Linked DNA regions of Struthio camelus. The protein of the gene in region 1 purifies or fractionates together with the protein of each later gene. This does not show direct contact. Links are inferred from orthologs where the notes say so. Each region holds a gene or a part of one and is shown in the gene's direction. Other genes may lie near its edges. The genes, in order: organic cation/carnitine transporter 2 and YIPF3.

Evidence for each region.
Region 2: the proteins of organic cation/carnitine transporter 2 (region 1) and YIPF3 purify together in Homo sapiens (co-immunoprecipitation; 3 studies listed by BioGRID and IntAct, counting the BioPlex papers as one, with this or other methods). This does not show direct contact. The link is inferred for Struthio camelus from reciprocal best matches to the Homo sapiens genes SLC22A5 and YIPF3.

What each region holds. Positions count from the first base shown.
Region 1 is NC_090954.1:2,517,895-2,533,342, reverse strand, and holds the start of organic cation/carnitine transporter 2, read left to right. Parts: upstream 1-7,533; 5' UTR 7,534-7,686; coding exon 7,687-8,079; intron 8,080-15,448. Other genes in the region: SLC22A4 (solute carrier family 22 member 4), read left to right, coding at 28-103. UniProt on the Homo sapiens protein: Sodium-ion dependent, high affinity carnitine transporter. Involved in the active cellular uptake of carnitine. Transports one sodium ion with one molecule of carnitine.
Region 2 is NC_090944.1:103,660,294-103,675,618, reverse strand, and holds YIPF3 (protein YIPF3), read left to right. Parts: upstream 1-8,610; 5' UTR 8,611-8,686; coding exon 8,687-8,767; intron 8,768-8,862; coding exon 8,863-9,066; intron 9,067-9,151; coding exon 9,152-9,258; intron 9,259-10,128; coding exon 10,129-10,174; intron 10,175-10,601; coding exon 10,602-10,694; intron 10,695-11,041; coding exon 11,042-11,173; intron 11,174-11,729; coding exon 11,730-11,843; intron 11,844-12,317; coding exon 12,318-12,441; intron 12,442-13,893; coding exon 13,894-14,015; 3' UTR 14,016-14,385; downstream 14,386-15,325. Other genes in the region: XPO5 (exportin-5), read left to right, coding at 229-369; POLR1C (DNA-directed RNA polymerases I and III subunit RPAC1), read right to left, coding at 4,773-4,891, 5,251-5,367, 5,927-6,076, 6,255-6,407, 6,600-6,719, 6,851-6,983, 7,676-7,783, 7,979-8,050 and 1 more. UniProt on the Homo sapiens protein: Involved in the maintenance of the Golgi structure. May play a role in hematopoiesis.

The sequences.
Region 1 (15,448 bases):
TGTAGCTTCTCGATCTCTTACTTTCAGTTTCAGAAACGGGCAACAAACCACCGGTGTTAGGAATTCAAAAGCGAATGCTAAAATTCTGGTAACACCACTGTGAAGAAGGCTGTACCCTCCCAGAAGGGCTGAAAGAACAACAAAGTCTTCTCAAAATGTATTTTCTACCAGAGGAAAACAAACAAAAAACCTACAGTCAATGCTACTGCGACATAGTTGTGAACCTATTATCCCCTTTTGCTGCTGTACCAAATATATAGTTTACTGAACAGATGCTGTCTACTCCCATAAGATTGTTAGTCTGTAATTCGGTGTCCTGATAGCTGGAGTTTTTCAACAGATACAGCCCCTGTCCAAGTTGGGATCTGCATGTGCTAAGCGTGTTTGAAGAGAGGGCTAGAAATGAGTATTAGGAATAATACATCAGTGACTCCACTCAGTCACGTATTCAATTAAAGTTGCTTAAAGAAAAATTGAAAGGCCAAGTTCAAAAAAAAAAAAAAACATAACGCTGGTGTTTTCTCTCACTGTGAATATTGACTGGAAGAGGAGGAGCTGGGTACCTTTCTTTGAAAAATCTCAGCCTACATCTCTAAAGGAAAGATTCCAGCCTCCTTTGAAATCTGTACCAAATCCCAATACACTTTAAGTGGAATCAGAATTTAGTTGAAGGAAAGCACACATAGACTTTATTGGTTTTTTTAAACAAGACATGGGAACAAGTATATTTTGATGTTCCTTACTTTTCCCAGGACCTGGGATCCAGTTCTGATCTACTTCTCCCTGTAAAATCTGATGCTTTTTCACAACGCCTGAGCCCACTGAAATCACTGGGCTTCATGGATCAGCATCTTTGCGGGGAAGAAGTCTTTAATAAGGAGTATAGTTTCTGACCTACTTCTGAGGGGCAATTTCCACATTCAAAAGAAACACAGGCTCCAGCAAATAAATGATTTTTTTCAAACATAATGTGCAGTTTTAGATACCAGATGTTCACGGTATATTGGCATAAGCAGTTTTTTTTATCTTGAATTTTTTTTTCCTCAAATTATTTCATTTCTCCTTGAATATATGCCATGTTGTACTGTACCTTCAGAGGAAACTCATTCCAGTTTTGAAAGCACCTACAAAAATCTTTGCACCATTTGCGGATTTAAAGGCGATTTGATGCTCAAAAAAATCTAATGTTCTGTATGGGAATTGTTCACCTACAGCTGCTAAAAACACGAAAGGGCTAATTTGGGACCACACAGTTATTTCAAAACAAACACCAACAAAGCCAATGTTCTGTTTTTCAAGTCCTACAGATTATGTATGCATTTTGTTCAGTGAAGCAGTATTAGATGAAAAGTCAAATGTAGTAGAGTTTAGAGTTGTGCTACTGCTGTTTTATAAACACTACATAGTTTGAAAAAAGTCTACTACTTCTTACTTTATTATTGGCTGCACATAGACTTTTTGGTCACATAAAGTCTATCAGACCTGGCAGACTGATTTTAGCCTCTAAGTAACAATTAGCCATGATTTACCTTCTGTAACGGCCAGCAGAAGCACGCTGTTTCACCTTTAATATGAGAGTTCGTGGCAATTTGTCTGCTGCTGGCCCTTGGCAGAGGAAGGAGTAGCTCCCTGTAAGTTCAAGCACAAATATAAAGCTTTATAACATTTAAATGCAAGTAACTTGTACAATTATTTCAAGCTGCAGTTTGGGACATGGAAATACTATTTCTTTTCATATTAATTTTCTGTGGTCCTGCTTTTGCCATAAATGTAATGTAACATGTAATGAGGCAACATTATCCTGTGATCTCTAACATTGCCTCATCTCTTCTCAAGCCGGAATTTCTCTAATGACAACAACATTTAATTTTGTTTTTACTTATTATATAAAAAATCTATAGAATAACTGTTTAGACTTAACTAGATTTCTCAACAAAACCTTTTTATTGGTGTGAGACAGTTGTGAGGACTTGATGAAATACAGATGGCTATATTTTTATTAAGATTTTTATATTAAGTTGATACTTGTTTTATGTGATCATAGACTCAGATATTTCTAAAAGGCAAATATTTTTATATTCTTGAACTTTGTAGTGTCTTAAAACCTAGTATTCCTTATTTAACTAAGAGAAAGGGTTGTGGGTTTTTTGATGCTTTGTTTTAATTAGCCTCATTTTTCTTGCTTATACTATTATCTAAAGCTAGTGCCAAAATTTTAATACTTTTAATGGCAAATTAAAAAAAATCTTTAACGAGAGTGGCACGCAGTTCTCAGAAGAATGTGATGTTGTTATGAGGACTTTAAATTGTGTCTGAGCTTAGTACAAAAGAGAACGGGAGATTGCTGCAGCTGATGAAGCATTTGCTAGGAAAATTTCTGTCCTTTGCCAGTAAATCTTTCCCAATCTTGAACAGTGATTCCTGAAGAAACTCAAAGAGCAATAGGCTGTGGAAGATTCAAAGAGCAATGAAGCTGGACGGCAGGAATGCCAGTTTCTGGCACGTTACTTTTTTTTTTTTTAACTGTAAAGCTGAAGTAAATAGTATTGGATTAATAGCTGTTGCCAAAAATTAAATGTATTGCTAGTGAACTATCTAAGCCTTTCACTGCAATCTTCAGAGAGTTGTCTGTATGCCAAATACTCAGTGGGGCTCAGTATGGGACCTGTGTGTTTATGAGCAGCTGGGATACTTGTGTAAAGCTCTGAGCTGAAGATGGGGAGGACTGGCTGGATTGCTCCCATTGCTTTCAGTGGGAGCTGTACTATTCCTCATACGTCACCTCCGTCACGTTTACTAGAGTCTATCTGTGTAACCTTTTACCCTCAGTAAGATCTGAAGCTGACTTACTGGATCTGTTAAAACATACATAAAATAACGTAGCCGTTGTCACTTGTTAACTTGTGTCTTTATTGTAATAAAGTGTGCACTGGTATTGTATAACCTACCTTCTGTGTGGCTTATAAGTGAAGAAAGAAGTCTGCCTTGTGCAAGGAAGTTTAAAGAAGTAATTTAAAATTTATTTAGCATGGATTAAGTACGGAACCTCCTCCTTTTAAAATAAGCTCTTCTACACAAGAAAACTATTCTGGTAGGAAATACTAGTGTAGGCCAGTTCTTCCAGCCTAAAATCTCAGCTTTTTCAGATGGTTAAATCCTAATTTCCTGATCCTACAAAGTAACTGAAGTAGTAACCTTTCAGGTTGATGGGTCTCCACAGAATTCCACTACATGCATTTGCAGGTCAAATATATATCCTTTAAAGAAATGCTCAGCTATAATTTTGAGACTGAACTTTTACTTTGTTCATTTCTCACAGTAACCAAGCATACTGAAAACATCCAGAAGGAAAAAATATGTAATAGTAAGTGTAATTGTTTTTCTATTTAAACATGAAGGAAGAGGTTATTTTATCATTATTAATTGTTTAAAAATTATTGTCAGGACACAAATATAACTTGCATAAATTTTTGTGGGAATTCTATTTCTGATATGGTGACCATGTCAGCTTATACTTTATACTTGTCCTAAAATCAAAAAGAAGTTAAAATTTATTAGCAACAAGCAATAGTGTAGTTTTTAATTGTGATGCAACAAACCACAAAGACTAAAGCCTAAGCAGCATCTTCTCCAGCATTTGAAAGGACCTCTACTAGAAAGGCAGTCCAGATAATTCTGCCATACTTTTCAAACTTGGAGATTAAATATGTTGAAATTAAGCAGAAAATCTTTTCCCAATTATTATCCATCAGTAAGCTTCCTGTAAGTCAATGACCTCCCTGAACAAGATCTAAGAACCCAGTATATACCAAGAGTCCAAGATTTCCGTGCCACAGAAATCAGGTCTTCACAACAGTAGATTTTTTTAAAAATCCTCAAAATTATAAAGAAATTCTCTATACTGTAATGACATAAAACAATTTATAAATGGCAGCAAACTGATTTTTTTTACTAGATGGAGAATGAGAGAGGAAATAATCAAAAAGTGGTTCATTATATAATGTAAGCCAGTATCCTTTACCATTAATACACATTTCCTAGCTTTTGTAAGGCAAATGGATATTTATATTTTGGACATATGGGTTGCTTATGGTCAGAGGGTTTTTTGTTTGTTTAGAACGGGTCTTATCTCCTGGGCTTGTTTCCTTTTTGTGATTCCTGTCATCTATATTTTCTGGTCATCTCATTTCCTGTTTTGTCCTAACATTCTGTGATAACAGCCAAACTGGGCTTATACAGCCTATAACTTTTACTTGTATTCTGTCCACATGAAAAGTTAATTTTCCAAATATACTAAAGCCTATTAAATAATAAGATAGACAACGCAAAATGAAATTAAACCAGAAGCTTTATATCCTTTTATTTTGAACCTTGGTGATCCCTTTGGTTACGGGACCTATGGAATTGAACACTTAAAGAAAGGACGTTTTTAAGCAAAATCTGTCAGAAAATCATATTTTCCATCGTGAACAACTGGAGAGTTTCACAGCACAATGATTCCAACATGGAAAGAAAGCTCTTTTTAAAAAGAAGCACTCAAAATTAGTGTAAGATGTATGCATCTGGCTTCCGTCAATTGGAGGTGGAGAAAAATAGACAAAAAAGGGCAATCTGAAACTTGAACTACCTCTGCAGAATAAGGTCAGTTTTTGCACTTAGGGATCATACAGCTTTGTAACAGACCTCTTTATGGAAGATGTGATCTTCCTGCCTTCTTGACAGCACTGCTAGGTAATGACTCATTGGTTTTGGCCTAAGAATAGAAGACTTCCTTACATTTATTAATTGTCAAACACACAGTACACGTTGCCTCAAAGAATACTCCCCAAATGAAAAACTGCATGTCCTTAATAGCAAATCCCTTTTAGACCTACAGGCAATACTGCTTAACAGACGATGGGCGTTCTAGAAATAGGTGGTTGTTGCAGACAGGGACAAGGTAAGGAACTAGTTTACGTTTGGACTTGCAGAAAACTTCCTTCCCTTGATGGTGCTGAGAACAAAACAATTAGTCGAGGCTCCTGACTTACAGGCGTAACTACCCAAACCACAGCCTTACCAATGAACCCTTTAGGCTGCTTTGCTTGTAACTTGTAGCCAAACCAAGGGTATTGCAGTCAATTGAATATATGATTTACATCTCAATACTCTGGTTTCTGACCCTGCTGGGTGATAAGCAGAGCTCTGAGGCCTGTTTTCATGAACTGCTTCTGCCAAGGAGTCACGAGCAGGCACAGCACACGCCAGCAGGCCGGGGCCAGCCCGGGCCTGTGCTCGGGCCTGGCTCCTCGTGCAGAGCTGGGAACCAGCCCAGGCTAGGGAAGCACGTGCCAGGAGCCGGCACGAGGCCCTGCTCAGGCAGGCAGTGAGCAAAGGTATTCGCAGATGCTACACAAACACCCCATCAGACACTTGTGCTTGCTTGCCTCTTTAAGAATGCATGTCCTGACTTTTTGGGCGCGTAAAATAAGGGAACTTTTGCAAGTCAGTTTATGACAAAGTCAAAGTTAAAAAAAGTATTCTAGAGGCAGATAAAAAGTGTTATGTAAAGATGAAATTCCTGCAGCCTTAATAGCATTCCTACCTGATAGGTATTCTTGAGAGGCCAGGCAATGCCTCTCCCCAGTATCCCAGCACTGCAGGCCTTCCTGCCTCCTAGCTTTTGATGTAAATAAAAGTCTGAGGCTCTGACCAGCCTCCAAGCAAGGGCTGAGGAGTCTATTAATATACGCCAACTCTTCCCCGGAGCTCCAGTGCTGTGCACTCTTGAGGGATAACGTGTCTCCGTAGCTCTCAGAAAACAGGAGCACAGCCTTTCTGTTGGCCCCAGCCTATGCTTCCAAGGAAAAGTATTGACAAAACACAGACAGCATGTTAGTCATTCATAGATTTCTATTTTCTTCAGCATGTGTCTGTGATGCTGTGGGCGCAGGCCAGTGTTTCAAGGGGACCGGTGTGGTGCAAGGCCAGCGTGGCCCTCTGTGCTGCTCTAAAAGCTACCGCGCCCTTCCATCTCTGCTTCACAATTCAGCCTCTCCATCTGCAAATCGAGACTATACCTTTGAGATTTACTCACAAAATACGCATCTAAAGGTAGTAAGGAGATCGGGAATCCTTTCCCTTGGACACGATCTCCGTAACTCCTGAAGGGACGATGAGTGTGACCCGTGTCCCTGCTACCTTGTGGGTGTCTCGGGCGTGGGTGTTGGACGCGTCCCCAGGGAGCAGCCCCTCACGGCCCCCTGTTGCGGCGCCGCGGCCGGAGGGTCCCATTCTTCAGGACCCCCTACCTCTGTCCGCTCGCGCCGTCCCGGTGAGCAAGCTGCCCCCATTATTCAGCAGTCGGTGTCCTGATGCAGATCCCTGCTGTCCCATGGCAGAGCTGCCGTCTCTCCTGTTTTTCACAAATATGCAAAAAACAGCCCATAGACCAGAGGCTCGGGGCCTCCGCGGTGCCACGCTCCCCTGAGGGTCTCACGGCCCCCCTGAGGGTCTCGCTGCCCCCTTCATCCCTCACCGCCCCCCTGATGGTCTCACCACCCCCTTCATCTCTCACCGCCCCCCTGAGGGTCTCGCTGCCCCCTTCATCCCTCGCCGCCCCCCCCGAGGGTCTCACCACCCCCCGAGGGTCTCGCTGCCCCCTTCATCCCTCACTGCCCCCCCCGAGGGTCTCACCACCCCCCGAGGGTCTCGCTGCCCCCTTCATCCCTCACCGCCCCCCCCGAGGGTCTTGCTGCCCCCTTCATCCCTCACTGCCCCCCTGATGGTCTCACCACCCCCTTCATCCCTCACTGCCCCCCTGAGGGTCTCACCGCCCCCTACATCCGTCACTGCCCCCCTGAGGGTCTCACCACCCCCTTCATCCCTCACTGCCCCCCTGAGGGTCTCGCCGCCCCCTACATCCGTCACTGCCCCCCTGAGGGTCTCACCGCCCCCTTCCTCTCTCATCGCCCCCCGAGGGTCTCGCCGCCCCCTTCATCCCTCACCGCCCCGCCGAGGGTCTCGCCGTCCCCTTCATCCCTCACTGCCCCCCTGATGGTCTCACCACCCCCTTCATCCCTCACTGCCCCCCTGAGGGTCTCACCCCAACCCCGAGGGTTTCACCGCCCCCTTCATCCCTCGCCGCCCCCCCGAGGGTCTCTCTGCCCCCTTCATCCCTCACTGCCCCCCTGAGGGTCTCACCGCCCCCCCGAGGGTCTCACCGCCCCCTTCATCCCTCACCGCCCCCCCGAGGGTCTCACCGCCCCCTTCATCCCTCACTGCCCCCCCTCATCCCTCACCGCCCCCCCGAGGGTCTCTCCGCCCCCCTCATCCCTCACCGCCCCCCCGAGGGTCTCTCCGCCCCCTTCATCCCTCGCCGCCCCCCTCAGAGCCCGCGCGCTCCCCTCAGGCTCTCGCCGCCTCCGGCCGCGGCCGGGGAGGGGGGGAGGGAGGGGGGGGAAGGGGGCGGGGCATGCCGGGAGCCGGCATGCCCCGCCCCGCCCCGCGGCCATCACCGCGGCGCCGGCAGGGGCGGCCCCGCCGGCAAGCCCCGCCCCTCGGCGCCGGGCCGCGAGCGAGGCCCGGCCCATGGCAAGCGGGACGCCGGGCCGCGCCGGGCCTAGGGGCGGCCGCTTCCTCCCTGCCCGCGCCAGACGGGGCCGCAGGTAGCGGCGGCCGGAGCTCCGCAGCAGAAGCCGCCGCGCCATGCGCGACTACGACGAGGTCACCGCCTTCCTGGGCGAGTGGGGCCGCTTCCAGCGCCTCGTCTTCTTCCTGCTCAGCGCCAGCATCATCCCCAACGGCTTCAACGGCCTCTCCATCGTGTTCCTGGCCGGCACCCCCGAGCACCGGTGCGCGGTGCCGGGCGGCGCCAACCTGAGCGGCGAGTGGCGCAACGCCAGCATCCCGCTGGAGGTGCGCGGCGGGCGGGCGGCGCCGAGCCGCTGCCGCCGCTACCGCCTGGCCGCGCTCGCCAACTTCTCGGCGCTGGGGCTGCGGCCGGGCTCCGACGTGGACCTGGAGGCGCTGGAGCAGGAGCGCTGCCTGGACGGCTGGGAGTACAGCCGCGACGTCTACCGCTCCACCATCGTCAGCGAGGTGCGGGAAGGGACCCCCCCCCTCCCGGGGGAGAGGGGGAAGGGGAGGGGGGGAGGCGGCGGCAGCGAGGCGCCCATCGGCGCGGCCTCGGGCCTGCCCTGTCCCCTTTCGGCAGAGAATGGCTCTTCGGGGACTTTGACCGCGGAGCTGCGGCAGGTTGGGGGGGGGGGTCCGGGGGGAGGGAAGGGCGCTGGGCGAGCAGCCGGGGGGCCCCCCCGGCTGTGGGGGGCTCGTCCGGGAGGGTTTCGCCGCGCTCTCAATCGTTACGGTGCAAAAATCCCCCCCTTTTCCCCCCCTTCCCCCCTGCAGAATCTCTGCAACCTGCCAGAAATCGTGATCCCCCCCCCCCCCCCGCCGCCCTCATTTGAGATCTATAACAAGAAGCCAAAGGAGTCTTTTTTAGAGTTACAGAGAGCTTTTACTGGTGTGTGTCTTCACAGCAGGGCCGAAGAAACTTCTGTGCCTGCCACAGCACTGGTTTCTGATGCTGGTTTTCAGCGGCCTGGAGTCCTGGCCCTAGACTCGTCCTAGCTTCTGCAGCTGGCATGCCAAACGTATTTGAGAGCTAATGTAATGAATTTCTCTTAATTTTCACTTGCAAAAGTGGTTTCTAAATGCGGTGACTTTTCCCCGTTGTTGGGCAGCGTTTGTATATTAACTGCTTAATTGGTTTCATCTGATGTCCTCAGAAGTGAGGTAGCGAGCACAAAGGGTCAACAGGGGAACAGTGGGTGCAGCTGGCTGCTTAGATCAAAGGTGCCTCTTTGAGCTCATGAGATGAAAGGGGTTTATTTGTTTCCTTTAAAAACAAAAAGTGGTAGGAGTCATCGGAGTTGTAGGAGACGCAGCAGTCTGGTGCGATAAGAGAGCCCTGTTCTGATGCTGTGTCCAGAAGAGCCATGAACTTTGTGTGTCAGCGTCATGCTTGCCCCTTGCTTGCTTCTCCGCCCTACCTTCCAGGAGCATGTCAGGATTCACATCTGCTGAACTGTGTTCAGCAAATCACCTCTCCAGTCAAGGAAACCAAAGGTGAAGTTGTGCTGATGATGCTTCTTGTCTGAGCTGAAAGCTCTGCAGGCTTGGATTGACTTAAGATACAAGCAAATGGATCGCAAGGAATATTTGGATTTCAAAACGTAGCTTTTTGCAAAGGCTTATAAGCCGTTTGTACAGCTGAATTGCCCGTTTGTGTCTGTGAACGAGTTTTGCAGAACAGTGGCTAAATTTGCCACCCAAAGGCCTTTATTTCTTGCTCCGCAGAACGGGTAGTGGTGGATGTTCCCGTGCTTGCTCTCTGATGGAGGTAAGCTGGTCTGAGTCCCGAAACGCTCCTCGGGAAGAGGACTGGGTGAGGAAGGGAGCGCGTGGGAGAAGCCACGCGCATACCAGCGCACAGGCCAGCATGCGTATGGTGAAACTTCAGTTGCTGAAAACTGCTTTTGAACTTAGACAGTGGCTGAGGCCTGAGTGATTTTTGACAACTGACTGACGGTGTTACTTGACCTGTTTCTAAAAAGCTGCTCTGTTCCTGAAGAAGAAAACTGAATTTCTAGATTCTGGTCATTACTGAAATACACTATTGTGAAAGTCTGGTGCGCTGTTACAGGCAATATAAAGCAGTCGGCCTTCCAGTTTGCGGCTAAGTGTAGCAATTGACCTGGCTTAGATGTAATTTCAGTTTGTCTTTCTGAGCTCTAACTCAGTGCAAATTTGCATATCTTAATTATCAACTATCTTCCGGAAATTTTATGATCTATGAGAAATGAAAGTTGCTAACATTTTTCCAGAAATCTACAGCAAATCTCCTGTGCTGTCTGTATGGTTTGGCAGATACTTTGTGCCTGCGGGAGGCCGTGTTTCGCTGCCAAGACATCATGCATTGAGGCAGTGGGGTTTTTTTTCCTCCTTTTATATTAATGTTTCTGAGCCAGTTTTGCAAGAGCTGTGGCCTTTCACATACTTTCAGGTTTTCAACGTTAAACTAGTTTAATTTCTTGGCTTGGTGCTGCTGTTTTTATGAATCACTAATCTTGAGTTTAATTGCTTATCTCTAACTTGTTGAATAATCATGAGGACCTTTGTCCCACATTTCTGTTGTTGACACTGGGAGGGGGAAGGGTTTTGGGTTTTTTTTTTCCCCAAGGAAGGTTTTTACTTGAGATTCTCATGACTTTAGAGAAAGATCCTCGTATATGTTTCTGCTTTTCAGGGGTAAGAGGAAGCTTATAACATTACGTTCTCTCTCAGTTAAAAACAGATTTTCTTTTCTCAGTTCTGCAGACTGAGCAGGAGAATGTTGTTAATCAGTCTGGAGTAATTAACTGCTTTGTGTGTAACAAAATCCTTTTTCATCTTTGACTTTTTGAAATACTGTATGTTGAGGAATAAGCAAAGCTTCGTTTACGCTTATCACGGACGCATCGGTGAACGCCCAGTGTCTCTTTTGGGGCTCTGCAGAGTAACTAGGAATAGAATTTAGCAGTAAAGTTAAATAGAGGACTAGAAAAATGATGCAATGAGGTTACTGTTCTTGGGTATATTCTTAGACGATACAGTGATCAAATCACTTTAGTCTATATGGGAGTAATTCTTACATACTGGAACATAAATAGAAACAGAATTTTGTGTATACATTTTTAAAAAGTTGATGATGAACATGTCTTGTATTGCTATCAGTTTGAAATCAGTTCATTAGAGGCATCTCTTTGTATTGCAGACTTGCCTTACAAGTCTGCCTTTAGGGTTGTTCTTAACAGATTTCAGCTACTGATGTTTTTTGCAGAGGAAGGGTGCTTATCACTGGAACTACAGAGCTGTCCTGAGGCCCGGTGCAGTGCTGGAACTATGACTCCTGCATGACTGTGCAGGGAGAGAAAGATGCCATGCCTTTTTGAGGTCCCTGAGTTTCCCATTTCCTTTTTACCAGGGGGTTCAGTGGCCCTGCTGTGCTGTCAAACCTTGGTTCCTGAAGAATAGTAAGTTATGCCAGAGCTTCAGGAAAGAATAAGTTGAGGCTGGAGCAGCAACATCTGAAATGACACAAATGAGTATTGTGTACAGGTGTGTCACTAGGGGTTTTGAAGTTTACCTTTTGTTGGAAGACAGAAAGAAGGTGGAGCTTTTTTTCTCTTTACCAAAAAAACTCCTGGACTCGTGTTAGGCATCTTAATTTCCACAGGCTTTTCCAATAGCGGAGCCAGCAGCAAAGTATAACTCAAGGCTATGTCATCCAGGTTCAGCTCTCACTGAGCTCTTCATTCATGTTAGTGCAGGTGGCCTTGTAGACCAAAAGCCACATCAGGACTTCCATTCGGTTTCATCATCTTTTAAAATCGATGCATCTTCTTTCTTGGCACAGAAAGATCTGCTTATTTTTCTGGTTAAAGTTAGCAGTGACAGCTTTTCAGTCCCAGCAGCTAACACAGCTATGGAATGACTTTTAACTGAGTTCCAGTTGCAAAATCTTTATATTGCTATTCTTGTCAGAAAAAGAAAAGTTCAATTTTCAGCTTATGAGATGAGCATGAATGGCTGTCAGACATAATGAAATACTTAAGTTACATCTTGAAAACCTCAGCAGTTTTAAGTGCATAATACAGGACCCTTGTGAATTGAATCCAAAGACCTTTCTGACTTCAAAACATCAAATAGGGTCAGTATTTTTAAAGAACGATAGTCTATAGTTGATATAAAGAAAACTGAAACAATGCTCATTTTGACATATCGTGGACTGTGTAATGATAGGATAATGTTCCTGTTACGCTGCATTCAATTTTAAATGAACGGTCTTCTGATAGTTCTGTTTCTGATGTCAGTACCTTGTTTTCTTTTTCTCTCAAAAATGTGTTTTATGGGGGGAAGTTAAGTTTCGTTGGAAATGTAAAATGTTTAGCACTTTTCTCAGTGGTCTGTGCAAGTTTTTCCTCTCTAAAAAGTTTAAAACAGCTACTGGGGAGAAATTAAATACCATATATGTTTTTCAGATACAGACATCTGTTTACATTTTCAGATAACTTAATATGCTGTCATAGATCTTCTAGAACTTCTGAGTGCTTGATATACATATAGATGTAGTCTCAGAAAAACAGATGTTTAATACACTCACAGCTCTTCATTAAGTGGTGAGTACCGTATTTGCATGGATATAAATAAGAACAGATTCTGAATCAAAGTTCATAAGTGCTGAGTGGTGAGAATGCTAGATCTGTTGAAGAACCTACCTCTATTTACAGAGTAGCAAGTGATAGGAGAGAGTACAGTATATTGAATAAGATTCCCAAATTCTTGCCAATATTTTGATTTTTAAAAAGAAAATATTAGTACATCAGTGTCCCACTTCCCTTCTCTTCTCTGCAACAGTAGGAAATGTTTAAAAAATGAAAAAGAAAAAGGATGGAGGGGCACAAAATAGCGTAACTGTAAAATTCAGAAGAATCTTCCTAATATAACTGGGTTGTAACTGAGTGAGCCTCTTGAAGTATTTGATTTTTGTCACAGTCCGTCTTTGTTTATGGTTCTGGTAATGCTATTAGGGAAGTACAAGTGCTTTTGCAGTGGAACAGCTCTTTGTGATCTGAGAAAAGTGCTTGTTTCATGTAAGGTCATAAATAATATTGTTGGCCTTGCAGTTTCTCTTGTAACTTTCCAAACATATAAGCTGATGATGGAGTTCTTGTTTGCTGTGATACTGTATTGCAAGAACTTGACTTTTGGAAGAGTTTATCTTTAATTAGACTTGCACTTTTGATGTTGTAATGCATTACAAATTTTTGTGCAATTTTAAGATGAAATATGATTAGACTCTTGTTGTTAGCAGCTGGATTTTCGCTGGTTTCTGTTATGCTCTCTTTGAAGTTGACAAAACTGCAGTAGAAGTTAAGCAGCCTAGGGGATCTGCATAAGTGTCTGGATGGGAGCCATTGCAGGCTTTAGTGTTGGTAATTCATAAAGAGCCAGCTCTCCTTTTGAGGCAAGCGGTATTCTGCAAGCGCAATGGCTGCAGAGCCTATACGCACAAAATATAGTAGCCCTGGTCTCTTGAGACTTCTGAAGTTCCTAGAGAACTTAGAAGAACCAAACTTGTTACTTGTAGTCTGGCCATATCTTCAGCTGGATGTGTGGCGTTGTGTCTGCCTGAATTTCCCTTGCAGTTTTAGTTTAATATCTTTATTTTATGCTTTGGATGTTATTGCCCAGTTTGCTGAGTTCAAAGAGTTCAAATATTTCATCTTGGAGGTGTGTGAGTTTCATTGTGACTGCAGTTTGAATGAAACTTTGTGGCTAAAGATGTTTTATTAACATTCAGTTTAGTATTGGACAGGCATATGACAAGTGAATATAGGAAATACCAGTCTAGCCAGATTGACAGTTAAACTTCTACTTACGCTGCTTAGTGTAATTCTGACTAAACATACAGTAATACTTTTTGTTCCTTTTTTTTTTCTTTTTTGATAAAAGCCTGGAAGCTAATAAAAGGGGGAGGGGGGGCGCTAAGGGAGTGGTTTGGTGGGATTTTGTTTGGTTGGATTTTTTTCTTCCCCAGCTTTATAACTAGTCTTGCCACATAGCAAGGGATTTTGAATTTATTTATCAGCCCTGGATCCTTTGTGGAGTGCTTGGCTCCTCTCATGGCGCAGCCCAGCCCCAGCACGTGGGCAATTACTGCTGCTGGGTGTGAAGCTGCTGGCAAAGACATCACCCCAACCTGGTGAACTGTTCAGGACATAGTTACAGCCCAGTCAAAGTAGCTATAAGCTGTTTGAGTAAGAAAACAAGTTTAAACTGCAGCAGAAAATGTCCTCCTGCAAAATCATAATAAGATTTAGTGAGAACACCTTGTGCCGTGTCTGAAGTGTTGGGTGTCAGTGTTTAGGAACTTGATGGTAACTGCTGTTAGAAGCAAAGCTGAATTGTGTTTTTTCCTCCCGTTTGGAGCCCTGATAACTTGCTGAGGTTAACCTTATCTTATTCACTGGGGCAAAGGCTATGATATCCAGCAGGACACTAGAAAAGAAAATTGGACATGGTTCTCAAGCACTTGATCATGATATACTGTGTCCCGACCCGTAGTGAGCAGCACCACCATCAGCAGAACTCCATCAGTAAGTAACCCAGGGATACTTGCTCTTAATAATGCTGGTCTTCAGCAGTGGTACATCAGTGCCATTTTTCTGGGCAACGTACAGGTCAGGGACAGATTCGTTGGGGAATTTAGAAGACTGATGCCTCATCGCTGGCAGGAGCCATACAGTAGCGCTCTTTGGTAAGTCATTGAAAAGCTGAAGACTTCAGCACTGAGTTACTGCAGTAATGGACCTTAAAATCTTTTTGTTTTCATTGTGCATGTGTGGAGTTTTATGACCTTAGGTTTTCTTTATGGCTTTAATAACTGCCATTTCATGATCAAGACAGTCGTCGTCTTTTGGAAAATTGATATGCAAGTTGTTTGCTTTCGTGCCTGGTTGAATTGCTCTTGAGCGAAACAGCTCCTAAAATTGTGTTACTGGAGTGGACAGAAAAACAAGATGGTAATCAGAGTGGCATTTTAAAGGCTGATATCTCTCCACTTGCCAATGCAATAAGCTTTTGGCAGGGCAATGCAAAATGTTTTAATCCAGTGAACTTTTCCAGGCAATGTCTCTAACTCAGTGGTCATAAGAAAGTGTTTATTGCTGAGCGCAAGCATGCCAGTGGAAAGCCAAGTGTTGTGCAACTTATGTGTCGAAGTACAGAGAGGACGATAGATGAAAGGAGATAGCTAATTCACAACTGCAGAGTTACCAGCTGAGAAATAATGACTTTGCTAAATCTTTGGCTAGTGAGATTTTAGTTCTAATACTGAAGAAGATGTCTAGTTCCAGTAGCTGCTACAAAGGGTAGTCTGTGAATAGGCAAGTCTTTATTAATGCAAGATTTCTACTGAGAGTAGTATTTGTTATCCCAATAAATGTGATCCAGTGAAGATATTTGGTAGTGACTGAAACTTTTGGCTATTGAAATTTGATAATAATTTGCTGCATATTTCCAAGATGCTAGGTAAACTCTGCTGAAGTTTCCTGGCCGGATTAGGCTCAATGAACAACTGTGAGAATTGTTTAAACCTTCCTTAATCTATAATGAAGTATAGCTTTTTGTTGAAGAAGTAGAGGTTTATTGCAACTGTGTTTATTACAATTTTCAGTCAAAATGATGCAACTGTGGTAAGATAAATCCCTTACAGTAAGATAACCATAGTAGGGTAAATCCTTATTAAGCGCTATAAACTTGTGAGCCATTAGAAAGCTGTGATTCTGAAAGGAGCTTCAGTAAGGATGTGCAATGGTGGTGCTGGTAGGATTTATTGGACCACTGTATTGAGTGTTAGTGTTTG
Region 2 (15,325 bases), on another chromosome or scaffold:
GAGTTAGAGTCCCGGGAGTGTGGTGCAGTCGGCACTAGTGGTTACCATCGATGCCCTGGCACTGTGGAAAGACCAAGCCTGAGATTCCCCAAAACCGAAGCAGGGAGAATGGGTCTAGAGATTGCTCGGAAACTGGGGCCGGACTGTGAAATGCAAGTAGGTTGCCCTTGGGCTGAGTGGACCTGTGAAAGCAGTAATGACTAAAGCCTGCCTGTCTGTCCTCTGCAGAAGCCCCTTGGGGAGCAGTTCCGCAAGGAGGTTCATATCCGGAACCTCCCATCTCTCTTCAAAAAGGTGAAGCCATCACTGGAGACAGACGTGCTAGAGAATGAGGATGGAGAGGGCCTCACTGCACTCTTTGAGCCCTGAGCCTGGGACACTGCAGCCATCTCCTCCCCTACCTTATATTTGGTCTCTCCTCATAGTAAGCACATTAGGTTCTCTCTGTCATCTCCACGAGCATTCACCTGAATAAAGCCCCTTACAGGTCCTGTCCTGTTCTCCCTACATGGGGATGGGGCCTGGGGTGGCATTTGATCCAGTCCGTTAAGCTTTTTTGATTCCTTCCCCTCCCCTCTGAGTATTAGCAGCTTTAGACCTCTGCTTCTCTGCAGGGTGGAAGCTGAGCCTACAGACTGGCAAAGCCTGGTCATTCTCTAGCCTTGGGTGTCTCTAGCTCCACCTCTTCATCCCTGGGCATTTAGGAGTGATGCAAAAGGCAAAAGAGTGCCCCATCTGAAAAGGGGCTGCCCTAATCTTACTCTGGGTGGTAGTAGCCAGGCTTTGCAGGGAACACATCAGACACTCCCGTCATGCCCACAGGCTCTTGTCCCTAGTGGACTTGTCTTCTGATGAATCTCTTTCCCTCCTGGACTCTGAGAGCCCTGGCCTGAGGGCTGTGTGCCAGCAAGCCTTGCAGTATTCTAGGCTCTCCCTTGAGTTCAGTCTTTTTAAGGTGCAGCTCCTCTCTGAAAGGAGGCAGACACTGTCATCATATATGTATGTGCATATGTCTTGTTCTACCTAGAGCCAAATGGAAGGCTTTTGCTTTGTGCCAGCCTTTCTCAGACATCTCTCAGGAGCAGGACAGGAAGTTTTTTTTTTTTTTTTTTTTTGTAACCATGCTCTGTAGACTAGAACAGGGCAGTGCAGGTACACAAAATCTGGACCAATAGCTGAAGCACCTGCAAACCAAAAGGGATCAGCCCACCGTGTCACTGTGGAGGTGGCAGTAGCCTCTGTTTTTACCCAGTATGGTACCTCTCAGAGGATTATGTGGCATGGCAGCAAGTAGTAGGGTTTTATAATGCAGTTTACAGGGGAGGGAAGCCTGTCCAGAAACTGGGTTTTTGGAGGAGGTAGGAATCTAGCAAACCACTCCAGGCTGCAAAGCTGGTTATTCTACAGGATAAATGGTTCGTTCAGTCTATTATAACATTAGCACAGTGGTACAGGAGCTGGGACAGTCTGTCCAGAACAAGCTGGCTGTTTTGCCATCCAGGAGACAGAAAAAGTAATAAATCATGAGGGGGGACAAAGGTGGTGTCTCTGCTAAGTTGGACTGGACAGAAAAGCTTGGTTTAGAAGAGGGTGGGGGAGGGGGAGGGCTGAAAGGAAGAGCAAGCTTTGGGACTCAGTGCAGCCTTCTGCTGCTGCTGTTCCACCAGCACCCTCCACTTTCCTCCTGGCCTCACTTTTTTTTTTTTTAAACTCCTGAGCTCATATGGTTCCTGGCTCAAGCAAAGGCTGGGTGTATTTATTGTGTTGTGGTATTTTTAACATTCTGTGACTTCATGCTAAACACAAGGGGTTTTTTTAAATGGTTTTTAGAACCTTTTTTGTAGGACTGTTTAAAGCTGAAGCTGTCTCTGAACTGGTTGTGTTACACCTCTGAATGTCAGTAAAGCTATTCCAGTTTCATACACATGGTGTCGTGATTTCATTTTATTCTTTTACCTCCTTCACCAACAGCTGAAGCCTCTGCTTTGCCCCCTAGTGGGCCTTCCTAAGAGTCATTCAGCACGTCTTATCCCATCTGCAAAAAGGGAGACACCTTTGCTGGTAGTCCGTGTAAATTGGGCATTGTCACATGTCAGTAATCAGGATGGGGATGCACTGTCCCAGGCTAGCTAATTAAATTAGAAGGCAAGGAGAAAGAGGCATTTAAAAGTATCAGCTGATCAGTCAGAGCTGCTTTATCTTAATTCTACCACAGCTGCTGGGTTCAAAGCTTGAAGGGTACATGTTTACAAAGACAATTGCTTTGACATGGCTACAGAAAACAAAGCATGCCTTGAAAACACAAAGAAGTGCAAGCTGTAGTATTATTACCTTAAAATGGATGCAGGGGCCTGTAAGGACACCTTAATAGAAAGGTTTAAGGTACCTTGCTTGTGACAATCAGAGTAGGAGCTGGCAGCATCCTTCACAGGGGTTAAGGACAGCACAAGAAGTCAATGATTAGACTGACATACTGTCTCTTGGGAACACAGTTTGGGATGTACTGAAGCAATTTCTTTCTCCTCCCTTCCTTCCACTGTAGCTAGGCTTATGGAAGTAGGGCAAAGAGGTTAGCTTAGCCTCAAGGATGCTTCTTTAGTCCGTTACTGCATCACTGTTTCTCAAGCAGTGGGCCTGGAATTGTCCCAAGTTTTGTTTCCTGTTTGAAGCAGCTGATGTTTTCACAGAATTTTGTTCTTTCTGGTTGGAAGCTTCCTAAACTCCTCCAGCATGAGAGACTTCTTCCCACACATGCTAGGAACCAGTCAACAGCAGCACATTCTTTCCTAAACTCCATCAATGTGTCTCAAACAAAGTCAATATAATTAAAGGTCTTTAGGGCTTTCTTTGGTTATTTTGGGATATTTCCAAGCCCCCAGCAATAGACAGCTGCATATGCTGCTAATGCAGCCTCCAAGCGCCACCTTAGCTATTGCTGGGAGGAACAGTGGCTAGCAACAGCGCTGTAGTTGAGCTATTCAGTCTTAATACTCTCAGCTTATCATTTCAGTAACCCTAGAAGATGATTCGTTTTGTCCTGAGGCTTGCAAGAAAGTCCTCCAAACTAGAGCAGAAGCCCTGTGAGAGGTAAGCCTGACAACTTCCCTATTGGGCCCCATTACAAAACCGTTTTTGAGGTCCTACCTGTAATCCAGCTCAACTGGGAAGCTGCTTCAGCTTGTTTAAACTGAAACAATCCAGCTATAAATTACTACTTTTGAAAAGGAGCGGTAGAACCTGAGTGAAGTTGATTAAGAACTAACCACAGTCCTGATCTAAAGGAAGTTTTGTATGCCTAGGCTAGCACTACGACTCATACATGCGAGACTGGTACTGTACAGCTGGGCTGTCTCAGTTTTCAGCAAGCAAAAGCACTAGGCAGACACCTTGGCTGTGGCTGTTAGGAGCTCTAAACCAGGAGGTACAAGCTACAAAACACAGGCCTAGCTCTTTGATTCCCAAAACTCCCTTCCAGTTCTAAGCAGAATAAATAGATCGTGCAGGGTAAGTTCTACAGCAAAGGCTCCTGCAAGACAGCTGAAAGAGGCAGAGGTACAAAAACCAGGAAGCACATCTGTGAAACACCAACTGCAACCCCTCCCCCCAGAACAGCCTTGACAAGGAAGCAGCCAGTTTCCCAGCAACTAGTTACCAGCAGTCTTAAAAAAAAGAAAAAAAAAAATCTGTGAGCAGAGCATGGGTCTGCAACACAGTATGATAAAATGGAACAGGCCTGGGATTTTGGCCAGAACGTCACCACTGTTTCGATCCCACTTTACTGACTTTGTCCTGAACGCACACGTTTTCTACAGCACATCCAGCCTAATACTTGTCCTGTAAACGTACAGCTAACTATACCCCAGTGGAACAGGTGACGTACGATTTGCTACACACAGTTCTAGCAGTTTAATAAGCGTTAACTGAAGTCACTGAAACAGACCAGTACTCATAGCCACTCTTTGGAGTTCTAGTTCATTTGTTAAGCCTAACAATAGAGTCATTCACAAGCAAGAATTACCTAGTGCTGACTAACAGAGTGCTCACCACAGAGACTTGCTTGCAAGTTCTCCCAGGCTTCCCTTGGTGGGGACAGGCCTTTAGCTCCCCCCTACCTGCCACTGTTCCCCAGGAAACTCTTAACTCAGCTTCAGGTTCAGACACTGAAAGGGAGAACAAAGTAGCCAAGCCTGGTTAACATCAAGAAAGAAACACCTCACCTTGAGACATGTAACAGGGAACAGTTAGTAGTCCTTACAGAGCATGTTTTTAAGCCCCACTTTGCTACTACACAGAGAAACCCAATACTATGTAACAGTGCAACCTTTCATCTACCACATCAATTAACTACCACAGCCTCTGTTGAGAAGGCTTGAGACAGCCTCTGTTAGCAAGTACCAGGGCAGGACTGCATTAAGATCTCACCGACCTGCTGCTAAGTGCTTTACTACACTGCCATAGCAGTCCTCTTCAGACAGTGCATGCCATCCAAAATAAATCCTATTGCTCATCTTTAGGCCTGCTGGCACTTTCTTCTCCGTATATTAGGGTCTTACCACTGTTAACAGCACTGAGGCACATGGCTGTGAAGAAAAGCCTTTATTTTAGGGCATCTCCTCAATGAGGCTCATTACAAACAGAAAACAAACACAAAGAGATGGTCTTGGGAATCTAACAAACCCATCTCAGACCTCCTGCCTACAGAGGAAGAACCACCCCTGCAGGCAAACCCCCAAACCAGCAGTGAAGGGATGTGCTTCTCAGCTACAGCCTGGTCACTCCATAGGCACAGAGTCCAACTCATTCAGGAAGCGCTGGCACTTTCCCATTAGTATCTTGATGGCTTCACTCACCAGCACGTCTGGAGGCAAGATACCCGTAGACTCCACTGAAACTGCACAGAGATACAAGTCAGCACAGCCACTATCCAGCTTCAGCCTACACCTGGCTCCAGCCTTTCTGCCCCCGAATTTTCACTTACATTGCACTCCTGTCAAGCTAAACCTTCACAGCCAGAAGAGAGGTTTACAACATTAGCCAGCAAGAAGCACAAACACCTTCAGTCCCGAAACAGCGCCAAACCACAATCTCAGTAGTCACCCATGAGCATACAAGCGTACCAAGGCTAATGACTGGTGAGGGGGAAGGGGAAGGAGGACAGAGACGAGAGATAGCAATACTAGCCAAGCCTCTGCTCATGCTGCACACACAGCAGAGAAAGGCTCTCTGCTCTGAGGAAAATGGGTCACTTACAGATGTAATGATTTCGCACTCTTGCCAGGCGCACAAGGTTTTTCAGACCCTCATGACGGAAAACCTCCCTGCTGAACGTGTCCAGTCGTGCATTTGCTACTCTTGCCACTTTTTTTCCTAAAGGGAAAAAGACGAAACAAGATGGGCACCGGCAGCAAACAGGGACAAGCACTTCCCATGACCAAAAGGCACCCCAGACAAGCACTCGCCCACCAGCAAAGGCAGTGAAGCCACAAAGTATAAAGAATTAGCACACCTCCAACACAAAATTCTAACCTGATAGAAATGAGCAGTTCCAATCTAAACACAAAGCTTATACATACCCCTGGGCAGGATACACGTCATCCCCACATTCAACTGCTGGAAAGACCAAGCTCACTACCCAGTCTGACACACAGTTGAGCAGTATTTGGAAGCTGCAGTAAGCAGCCACAGGGCTCTACAGACAGACACACAATACCTTAGCATTTCAGGGAGATCTCAGTTCACCAGCAAACACATACGCGTGCAACAGCCACTCATCCATAAAACCAGGCTGAGAACAGCACAAACAGTTGCTGATCAGCAAGACAACATCACAATGTGGTTTCGTCTCCACAAGGTTTGGCTCTAGTCTGCAATAACTCTTTGCTAAGACTCATAAGGACATGACACGTTAGAGCAGTGAATAAAGTACCCTTGATGGTCTGGATCTCAATGACTCCAGGGGAAAAGCACTTCTGCAACAACTCAGCCGCCTCATTCTCAATAGGCTGCAGGAGAGTAATGTCCGGAAGCAGTCGATAACTAGCTGTGGCCACAGGAGAAAACTTGGCATGATCTTTACCTGCACAAAGAGATAAGGGTGAGGAGAGGTCTCACAGAACAAGAGGGTAATGATGCTAGGGCCTAAAGTTCAAAGAGGCAAGCCAGCCTTCCACCTCTCCCCTCCACACATCCGTCCATGCCCTATAGTCCGAGCACTCCCACACCTTCTCCCCCTACCCTCAGGACCAGTGACTTACCTATACCCTTGACACAGTGCATAAGCACATCTATTTCCTGGCCAGGTCGTAACTGTGCGATAAGGATGTCATCATGAACAGGTCGGAAGTCAGCATCTGGGAAGAGGTCTGTCTGATTTCCCAAAGGCACCCATGTCATGTGTTTACTGTACACTGTGAAGAGGAGCCACAAGCATCAGCCAGCTGCTGCCTCAGAAAGCAGACTGCTACAGGACTGGAGCTGGTAAAAAGTTTAGCAGAATAAGGGAATCAGCTCTCTCTGTTCACAGGACTGAGAGAATGGACCAATTCCTGTCTCCCAAGAAAAAAAGCAGCATCTGTTTTTAGGACACGGAAAGACCTTACCTTTGTGATTGAAGTACAGTTCATTGGGGTCAGAGGACTCCCTGGCTGCCTGAGAGTTTCGGCTGCATTTTATTTTCAGCTGGAACTGCAACGTATCAATTTCTGTCCCTTCTTCATCTCCTGGAAAGGGGAGAATAGCACGAGCGTCTACAGAATCACGCTTCTGCTCAGTTTACCTGATCCCAGGTTTCCTACTTTGGGGGCAACCTTCAGTATTTCGGTTTGATTGAAGGGAGACTCAGGACTCTCACCTTGGTTTCTGTACTCAAAGAGTCGAGGGTCAGCTCGGATAGGGATAAGTCCCAAGCGATGAGCCAGAATCTCATCCTGCACGATGGACGTGTTGTTGTACACAAAGACTTTCTCTACAGCCATCGTTGGCACCTCAAGGAGAAGAGGACGCATCAAGTCAGTATAAGGTGACGGTCCAACTACACACCAAAACAGTGTCTAACTAAAACGTGCTTATTTTCACTACTTCTTCTCTCCCATAAATAATTGCTCGCACACTCTTCTCACTGGTGTTTCTATCAAATTGCGCTACCCAATACAAACATGAATGAGTTCTCCCTCTATCCCGGTAGCTTACTTCTTTTATTAAAAAAAAAAAAAAAAAAAAAGTAAGAGAGGTAAAGGGCAGACCAATCCACAGAACCTACCAACATCCACAACAACCTACCAACCTACCTCAGCATCCTTAAGGGTTACAATTGCTATTGCTCATGCCACTAAGGCTCTAACTCTCTCTAGGTCCTTGACATACAGAACGGATTTTTGCTTCTCTTCTAAAATACGTATAGATGGACTGAGATACCACAGGACATACACATACACGCCCTCTCCCATCGCACAGACTGCTCTGCAGCTAGGGCCTGCTTCCAGGCAGCTCTGTGCAGGGCCCTGTCCCCCATGCCCTGCTGCAGAAACACTGATGCTGCAGCAGGCTCCCACCGGCGGGCCACAAGGGCCACCGGTGGTACGAAGATGCTAACAGCCCCGAGGCCCACCCGAGTTGGGGGGGGGGGGGGAACCCGGCCGGGGAGCACCGCCAAGCCTTGCCCTCCCCGCGGCGGTACCTCAGCCAGCAGGATGCGGCGGAAGGCGTTGGCGATGGCCGCGTCGATGCCCACCATGTCGAACTCCAGCGCGTCGTCCTCCTCGCGGACCACGTCCACGCGGAACCCCTGCACGGGCCACGCGCCGCGTCACCCCACGGGCCCGCCTCCACCAACCGCCGCCGCGCGCGCGCCCGCACCGCCCGGAGCCTGTAACGTTCCTCCCCTCCCCGCCCCGCGCGCCCCCTCCCCAACGGCCGCCGCGGAGCCCGCCCCGTCCCAACGGCCGCCCAACGGCCGCCCCGGCCTGCCGGCAGCGCCCACCTCCTCGAAGCGCAGCTGATCCCAGGCATCGTCGTAGCCGGGGTAATTGCCGGGGAAGTCCGTGGTGTGGACCTGCGAAGAGGGAGATAGGCAGAGAGCCCGTGAGGGCGGCGGCGGCGCCGGGAGCGAGGCGGGCACCCGGCAGCCCCGCGCCGCCCCAACTCACGTTGCGGACCCCGAACTCGCCCAGCACCACGCGCTCCCGCATCTCCTCCGTGCCCCGCTTGGCCGCCATTGCCGCCGCCGCCGCTACCAGAGCGCGTGCGCGGCCGGACGGACTGGGGAGGGAGGGGTTAGACTCCCTCTGCCACGTGACGGGCCGCCCCACCCCCGGCGGCCGGGCGGGAGGACTTGGCTCCGCCTAGGTGTGGCGCCTCAGCCGCGGGGCGTTCAACCCTCCCTCGCCGCAGGCCGGCCTGGGGGCGCTGCGACAGCGCAGCCCACGCCCCCGTATGCTCTGCGAGGCTCCCTCACCGTCTACTCAGCTCCTCTCTGCTGCCCCCTTCCACTTTCCTCTGCCACTCCCAAGATGGCGGCACTGCCGGCCGGCCGGCGAGAGCGCGATCTCGCGAGAGCGCGGGCGGAGCCTCCACGTCCGCCGGTGCTGGGGGGGGAGGGGGGAAAGCCTGTCACATCCGGGTCCTGCGAGCCCCGCTGGGCCCGCGGAGCCGCCAGCAGCGAGCGCGGCGCGGGGCGGCCCCGGCCACGATGTCCGCGCCGGGGGCGGCGGCGCCGGGCGGCGGCAGGAGCGGCGCGGCGGAGTGGGGCGGCTTCGAGGACAACATGCAGGTGGGGCCGGGCCGGGCCGGGCCGGGCCGGGCGGGGGGCGAGGCCGAGGCCGAGCGGGGCCCGGGCGGGCACTGACGCCTCTGCCCCCCGCGCAGGGCGGCGGCTCCGCCGTGATCGACATGGAGAACATGGACGACACGTCGGGCTCCAGCTTCGAGGACATGGGGGAGATGCACCAGCGCATGAAGGAGGAGGAGGAGGAGGCGGAGGGCGAGGCGGCGGCCGCCGAGGAGGAGGACGGGGAGTTCCTGGGCATGAAGGGGCTGCGGGGGCAGCTCGGCCGGCAGGTCGCTGACCAGGTGAGCGTGGCTCCCCGCCCGGCCCGCGGCCGCCCCCGGCCTCGGGGGCCCGGCCCGGCTGCTGCACGCTGCCTTCTCTCCGCAGATGTGGCAGGTGGGGAAGAGGCAGGCCTCGAAGGCCTTCAGCCTCTACGCCAACATCGACATCCTCCGGCCCTACTTCGACGTGGAGCCTGTCCAAGTGCGCACCAGGTGGGCAAGGCCGTGGCCCGGCCGTCGCCTCCGCCGCGAGTGCCCGGGGGATTCAGGGGGGACCAGCGACTCCTCACCAGGGAGCGGCTGCCCCCAAGGCAAGCAACTCCGGGTGGGGCTGCCAGCCCTGCGCAGTGCCCAGATGCAGGGTAACACGCTAGGCTTTGTCCCCTTGTCCTTAAAGAGGTTCCCTAGGCGGGCTGGCCGCTATGTCACTTGTGGCCCAGCAGAGCTTCTCTGACTGAAACAAGGGCTTTGAGGCATCTTTAGCGTTTTATTGCCCAGCCCCGTCACGTGGTTTCTGTTGGACCTGCAACACAGTTGTGTTCAGAAAGGCAGTTCTGTGTCTTCTCAGGGAGCAGCTTACCTGACTGGAGAGAATGAGGCAAGAATTACTTTTCTAAAACCTTCCAAGGCCTAAGGAGCCAGCACTAGGGTACAGTTTGTACATATTTTTACAGCATGATTTTATCCAGGACTAACTCATGAGGAGGCTCGGCTAGCCCGCTGTCATGAAGGAGAAGGCTTTATATCATCAACATATGTTTTTTCATCCAGCCTCAGGTCAAGGAGTTCAGTGGCTCAGAAAATTAGGGATTGCTGTTCTGGCAGCAGTCCCCTCATCCCTGAATGGATCTGTGTATGTTTTCATTAAATCCCCCTGGCAAAGTTAGCCTGTGGATAATAAGATTGTTTTCTTTAGCTACCTTTTGTGACTCTTCAGAAGGAATCTGTGTCTACCAAGGCCTGTGAGGCACAACAGGAAAATACTGGTGACTGGGGTATGGGATCTTTTACTGCTGAGGCATCTCGTTAACCTGGTTGTTTTTCCTGCTTTTGATGTCGTTCTGTGTTTTTTCTGTGATGCAGACTGCTAGAGTCCATGGTTCCCGTCAAGATGATTAATTTCCCACAGGTGAGTTCCCTTTTGCTGAATCAAACTCCATGGCTCAAGAGAATGTCCCACAGACACCTTGGAGATTTTGATTAGCCCGTGTTAGTAAGGGCCTGAGTTTGCTAGTTGTTCATCTGCCTGAAAATGCTGGTAAGCTCTTTCCCAGGATGCTTCTAAACCCCTTTCTGCTACCCTTAATGCTGGTACAGTTCTAGATCTCCAGACTTCACTTATCGTGTTTTGGCATCCTGTTTAACACCACTTTGACTCTTAATCACATGACCTATTTTTCCTGGCTCCTGTCAGCAGCGGCCTTACTGTTACTTCTCAGATCAGTAGGTGGCTAAGTGACAAAATTCATCCAAGGCACTTCTCACATGGCTTGGGGTGGGGAGTCTGGCCTTCAGGAGCACTAACCAAGCCTTCCCTGGTCTGTCTCCTCCTGTAGAAGATTGCAGGCGAGCTCTATGGGCCCCTCATGCTGGTTTTCACGCTGGTGGCCATCCTCTTGCATGGGATGAAGACTTCGGACACCATCATTGTACGGCGAGTCTCAGCGATAGGTTGGGGTTTGCACTGGGATCTGAATTGCCATAATGAGGCTAGAGAGGGAGAGGAAGCCTCTCCCGTGACTGAACAGCACCTTGCTGAAAAGCAGACTGATTTGAGGAAGAGTTAATTTGGGGGTAGGAGGAAGGAAGCAAGCATCAGAAAATCTTGATGCTGTGTTGCTGGAAGGGCTGGGCAGTAGGCCATGTGGCATCCTGGACGCTGCTGGCTGGCTATTCAGTCATGCCTAGCAAAGGCTCTGGGAACTCTCTGAGGTGGAATTTGGGTCCTGACAGGTCAGTTCTTTGCGCTCTCCTCACCCTGACACTGTCTCTGCAGAGGGAAGGCACACTGATGGGCACAGCCATTGGCACCTGCTTCGGTTACTGGTTGGGCGTCTCCTCTTTCATCTATTTCCTGGCATATCTGTGCAATGCCCAAATCACGATGGTGCAGATGCTGTCACTGTTGGTATGTATGGATGGGGCTAAGATGCAGGTTGGCTGCATGGTGCTTCAGCAGAAGGGTGGTGTGGGGGGGTCTTCCCTGAGACGTGGAAGTCTCCTTATCAATTAATGGTCCCAGGTGACTGCAGTCCTATTGCATGGGGATAGGCTGGAATTCCAAGTTGTTCTTCTGACTTGCCCCATCCCAGGTACGAGGACAGCACAAAGTGGCTGTTGCTTCATGCAGATCTGCTTTGGACTTCCTGATCTGAGAGCATGGTGGTAAAAAGCAGGAGATTCCAATTTCTCTGGAAACAGAGGCTGATTTTTTCTCTGTTTCCCAAGTTGCTGTGATTTCTATCATCCCTGTGACTCCTTCAGGCAGAGAAGCTGGATGTGAGCTGCTCCCACAGCACACTGGCTTTTACGTTTGGTGTGCTGATTGACTCTTGGGTGTTGAGTGAGTGATTAGTGAAGCTTTGCCTCCATGAAACGCTGCAGGAGTAGCCTACTCATGGTTTTGACCAGTAGCCCTTCACGTGGGACTGTCATTCATAACACGTGTATTTTTGTTTTGTCAGGGCTATGGCCTCTTTGGACACTGCATCACCCTCTTTGTTACCTATAATATCCACTTCCACTCCCTCTTCTATATCTTCTGGCTGGGTGTTGGTGGACTCTCGACACTACGAATGGTAAGGGACAGGCAGCTGGGAGCCCTCCTGCTTTGGGGACCAAAAAAAAAAAAAAAAAGAGGAGAATGTCATTTGCTTTCTGTTTCTTGGGGCAGGCAGTTCATATCAAAGCCAGTAAGGCTGCTAAGAACAACAGCCTGACACTTCTGGGTTGCTTGGCCGCTGGTGTCTGGAAGTGACACTCGGCTTAATGTCCTCACGCATTCTAATGGCTGCAGGAGGTCTGCTCCCTTACAGCCCCTACTGTGGTGCAGAGTCCTGCCTGAGCATCCTGAACTCTTGGCAAGGCTGGACAAGCTTCACCTACATGAAACAGTCAGTTTACTTTGAATTTGGTGGTGTAAACTGCCAAAGAGTCTCTGAGTAGTTTCTGTTGGCTCTTACCACTTGGCCCATCTGCCTATGTGCATCTGACTGCAACGCCAAAGGCTGAGGTAGCAGCTACCTTGTCTGTAATCTCCACCTCTCTCCTAGGTTGCTGTGCTAGTGTCACGTACCGTGGGGCATACTCAGCGGCTCATCTTGTGTGGGACCCTTGCTGCTCTGCATATGCTTTTCCTCCTCTACCTGCACTTTGCTTATCACAAGGTAGTAGAAGGTAAGAAGGGGAGATAGGAAGGGAGTGCCTGTTAGATCTGGGGGAAGAGGAATTGCTTTTTGTTCCCTCCCAGAAAAAATACAGCCAGTTGGATCCAACCTGGGATATGTGCCAACTTCCTATCCAAGAGCGGCCAGCGCTAGCTGTGTTAGAGGAAGCTGTCCAAATGGGGCAGCAGATAGACATGGGGTAATCTGTTTGTGCCGAGTCTCAGGGTTTAGGACAGAAGTTGTGAGGCAGAAGGTTTAATTTTCCCCATAAATGAAGTGTCACAGCACTGACTGTTCCACTCACGCAGATATCCAGTCCCTTCCTGAATCTTGCTGAAATCAGGTTGCTTTCTCTGGTCAGAAAATCCACAGTCAATGTATCGCAAGAAAAATCTTTTTCCTTCTTAAAATTGGTGTAATGCCTTTTTTTATCTTGTGTTGTACAAAACAGGCAGCAGAAGCTCCACCTCCCCCAGTCTGTGCTATTTACCAAGCTATACATATTCAGGTCTCCTTTTTGCATCTTTTTTTGTTTTCCCCTAACAAAAGTCACTATCCCTTTAAAACAAACCAAAAAAAGTCACAGTCTTCAATCACTAGAGTTTTCAGATCCCTAAACGTGCCATTCTGTAGTCCCTTTTTTGAGTTTAGGCAACCAGTCCTGTTCATGATATTGAAGGTAAGTCTCGATAATTTAAGATTATAGCATGGCATTAAAAGTCCTTTTAGATGTAAATACAGTTCTTGCCTGCATCCATTCTCATGGCCAGCGTTCTGAGCCCTGATCTGTGACTCTTCAACAAATGACATAGGGTAGAATATACTCCACGCAATTTTCTTAAACAATCTCCAGGACCGATTATCAGTTTTGAGAGGGTAACTGATAAAGTCTGGAGGACACTTCCATCAGTACATATGTTTGCTTCCAAACCTGGTCCCTGTTTACATTGCAGCAATAAAATTCCATATTGCATCCCCATCTGCAGCTCCTGATGTAAGTCTGCAAGTGTATCTCAGGAGGGAAGCAACCAGTGGATCTAAGAGAGAGCTGGGGGTCTGTGCTGGGATGAGGTGGGGAGAGGATTTTATCAGGCTGCTTTGGCAGAGCAGCATCCCCCAGCAGTATCTGCATTCAGGTCAGACGGCAGAGGGTTGGATTTGGCACCCTCAAGGTGACACGATCTGTGCTTCCCTCGAGGACACAGTTTCCCTGCCCCAGGGATAAGCTCTGATCTGTACGCTGCTCTCTCTCTGGATGGAAGTGTTTATTGCTTTATCTGAAGCCAAAGGCTGCCTGCCCATTCCTTGGGGCTAGATGTCTTCTCCCTGCACGTTTCCCACATCCTAGGCCCTGCCATGGTCAGCCACGGGCCAGAGAGAGCAAGAAAAAAACGTCACGTGCATCTGGATCAGCGTGGTACTAACTCTTGCCACTCTCCTGTTTTTTTTCTGTTCTCTTCAGGTATCCTGGACACGTTGGAAGGACCTAACATGCCGCCCTTTCAGAGAGTTGCTAGAGACATTCCAGTTGTTTCCAACGCTGTACTGAACGCAACAGCCAAAGCCATGGCATTGACCCTGTAGTTTCATGAACTTGGACTTGCTTCCTTCACTACTTTCGGGGCTGTATAGAGCAGTATCCCTGCTGTCTCCTAGGAAAAGGACAGAGCAGCAGGAATAGGACTTGGTTTTATGTTGTTTTCCTGGACTTTTCTTTTGGGTTGCAGTTTTGGGCAGCAGAGTGGGGCAGCACCTCAGTGACAGAATTAGGCTCTTCCCCTGCCCAGGTCTGGGCTGCTTGGCGTAGAGCAGTTCTGTCACCTGCACGCTTCGCTGGGATTTCCCAGCTCAGTTTGTCCCTCCCCCCATCTTTCTGCTTCCTCCTATAACCCCAGGGCTATGCGCTCTGTTCCTGTCCTGAGGAGGGAAGAATTAAATGGATGTTGGTGCTGAATGATGTCTTACATTTGAGCCTACTTGTGTAATGGGAGAGTGGTGGTGGGTCTCTGCTCCTTTGTCTGTCCCTTCCTTCCTAGACTCAAAACAGAATTCTTTGCACTTTTGTCCTGTCCCATTTCAAATGCTCCATGTTACATGGACAGTTTTTCAACAGTTGCCAAAAGGCACGTGAACTTTAGCGGGCTCAAGAGTTTTTTTGAAACAGCACAATGTTTAACCATATCATCTCTTTCTTGTTATGCTCCATATTGATCCCTCTCTCTTTTCACGTGGTCCAAGCTGCTGTCTCGCTTCGCTGTCCGTTCTCTTGTGTGTATAAGAAGTGTATCTCTGTCCCTCTGCTTTCACAGCACCTTTTGTTCTTATCTGCCTTCTGCCTGTGTCGCTCTCTGGGACTGCAGTTCTAACTGCAGCCTGCCCCAGAGGCAATGTGTGTGTGCGCGCACAGTCTTCTGTGATATTTCTGTTACAGAGGCTAGTTCACCCTCATGCACCTTGCTCTTGTGTCTCCCAGATGTGGGATTTTTACCTCATTTCTCTCTCCGGTCAGCAGAGGCATCCTGCTGCCCCAGATCCACCATGTACGGCATCTGTTGTGTACTCTCCGGCTTTTCAAGTAGAGGCTAGGTCTTCTTTCTGAAGAGGCTCCTGAGCCTTGAGAGAGAGAGAGTGTGTCTGGCAAACTCCTCTCCAGTAAAAGCACTTCTGTAAAGCAAGGGGGAGTCTACAATGGTAATGGAGTTGGCACGTTCAGCCCCAGTGTCCTCATGCAGGAAAGCTCCAGTAACTACGTGGAAATGGAGCGACCTAGGCTAGGCTTACTTGAACTTCAGAAACTCACGACTGCATAATTTGGATGTAATCTTCCCTCACTGCTCTAACTTGTCTGGTCCAAGAGTGGAAAGCTGTTAGCTGATACCTGGTTTTCAGCTTCT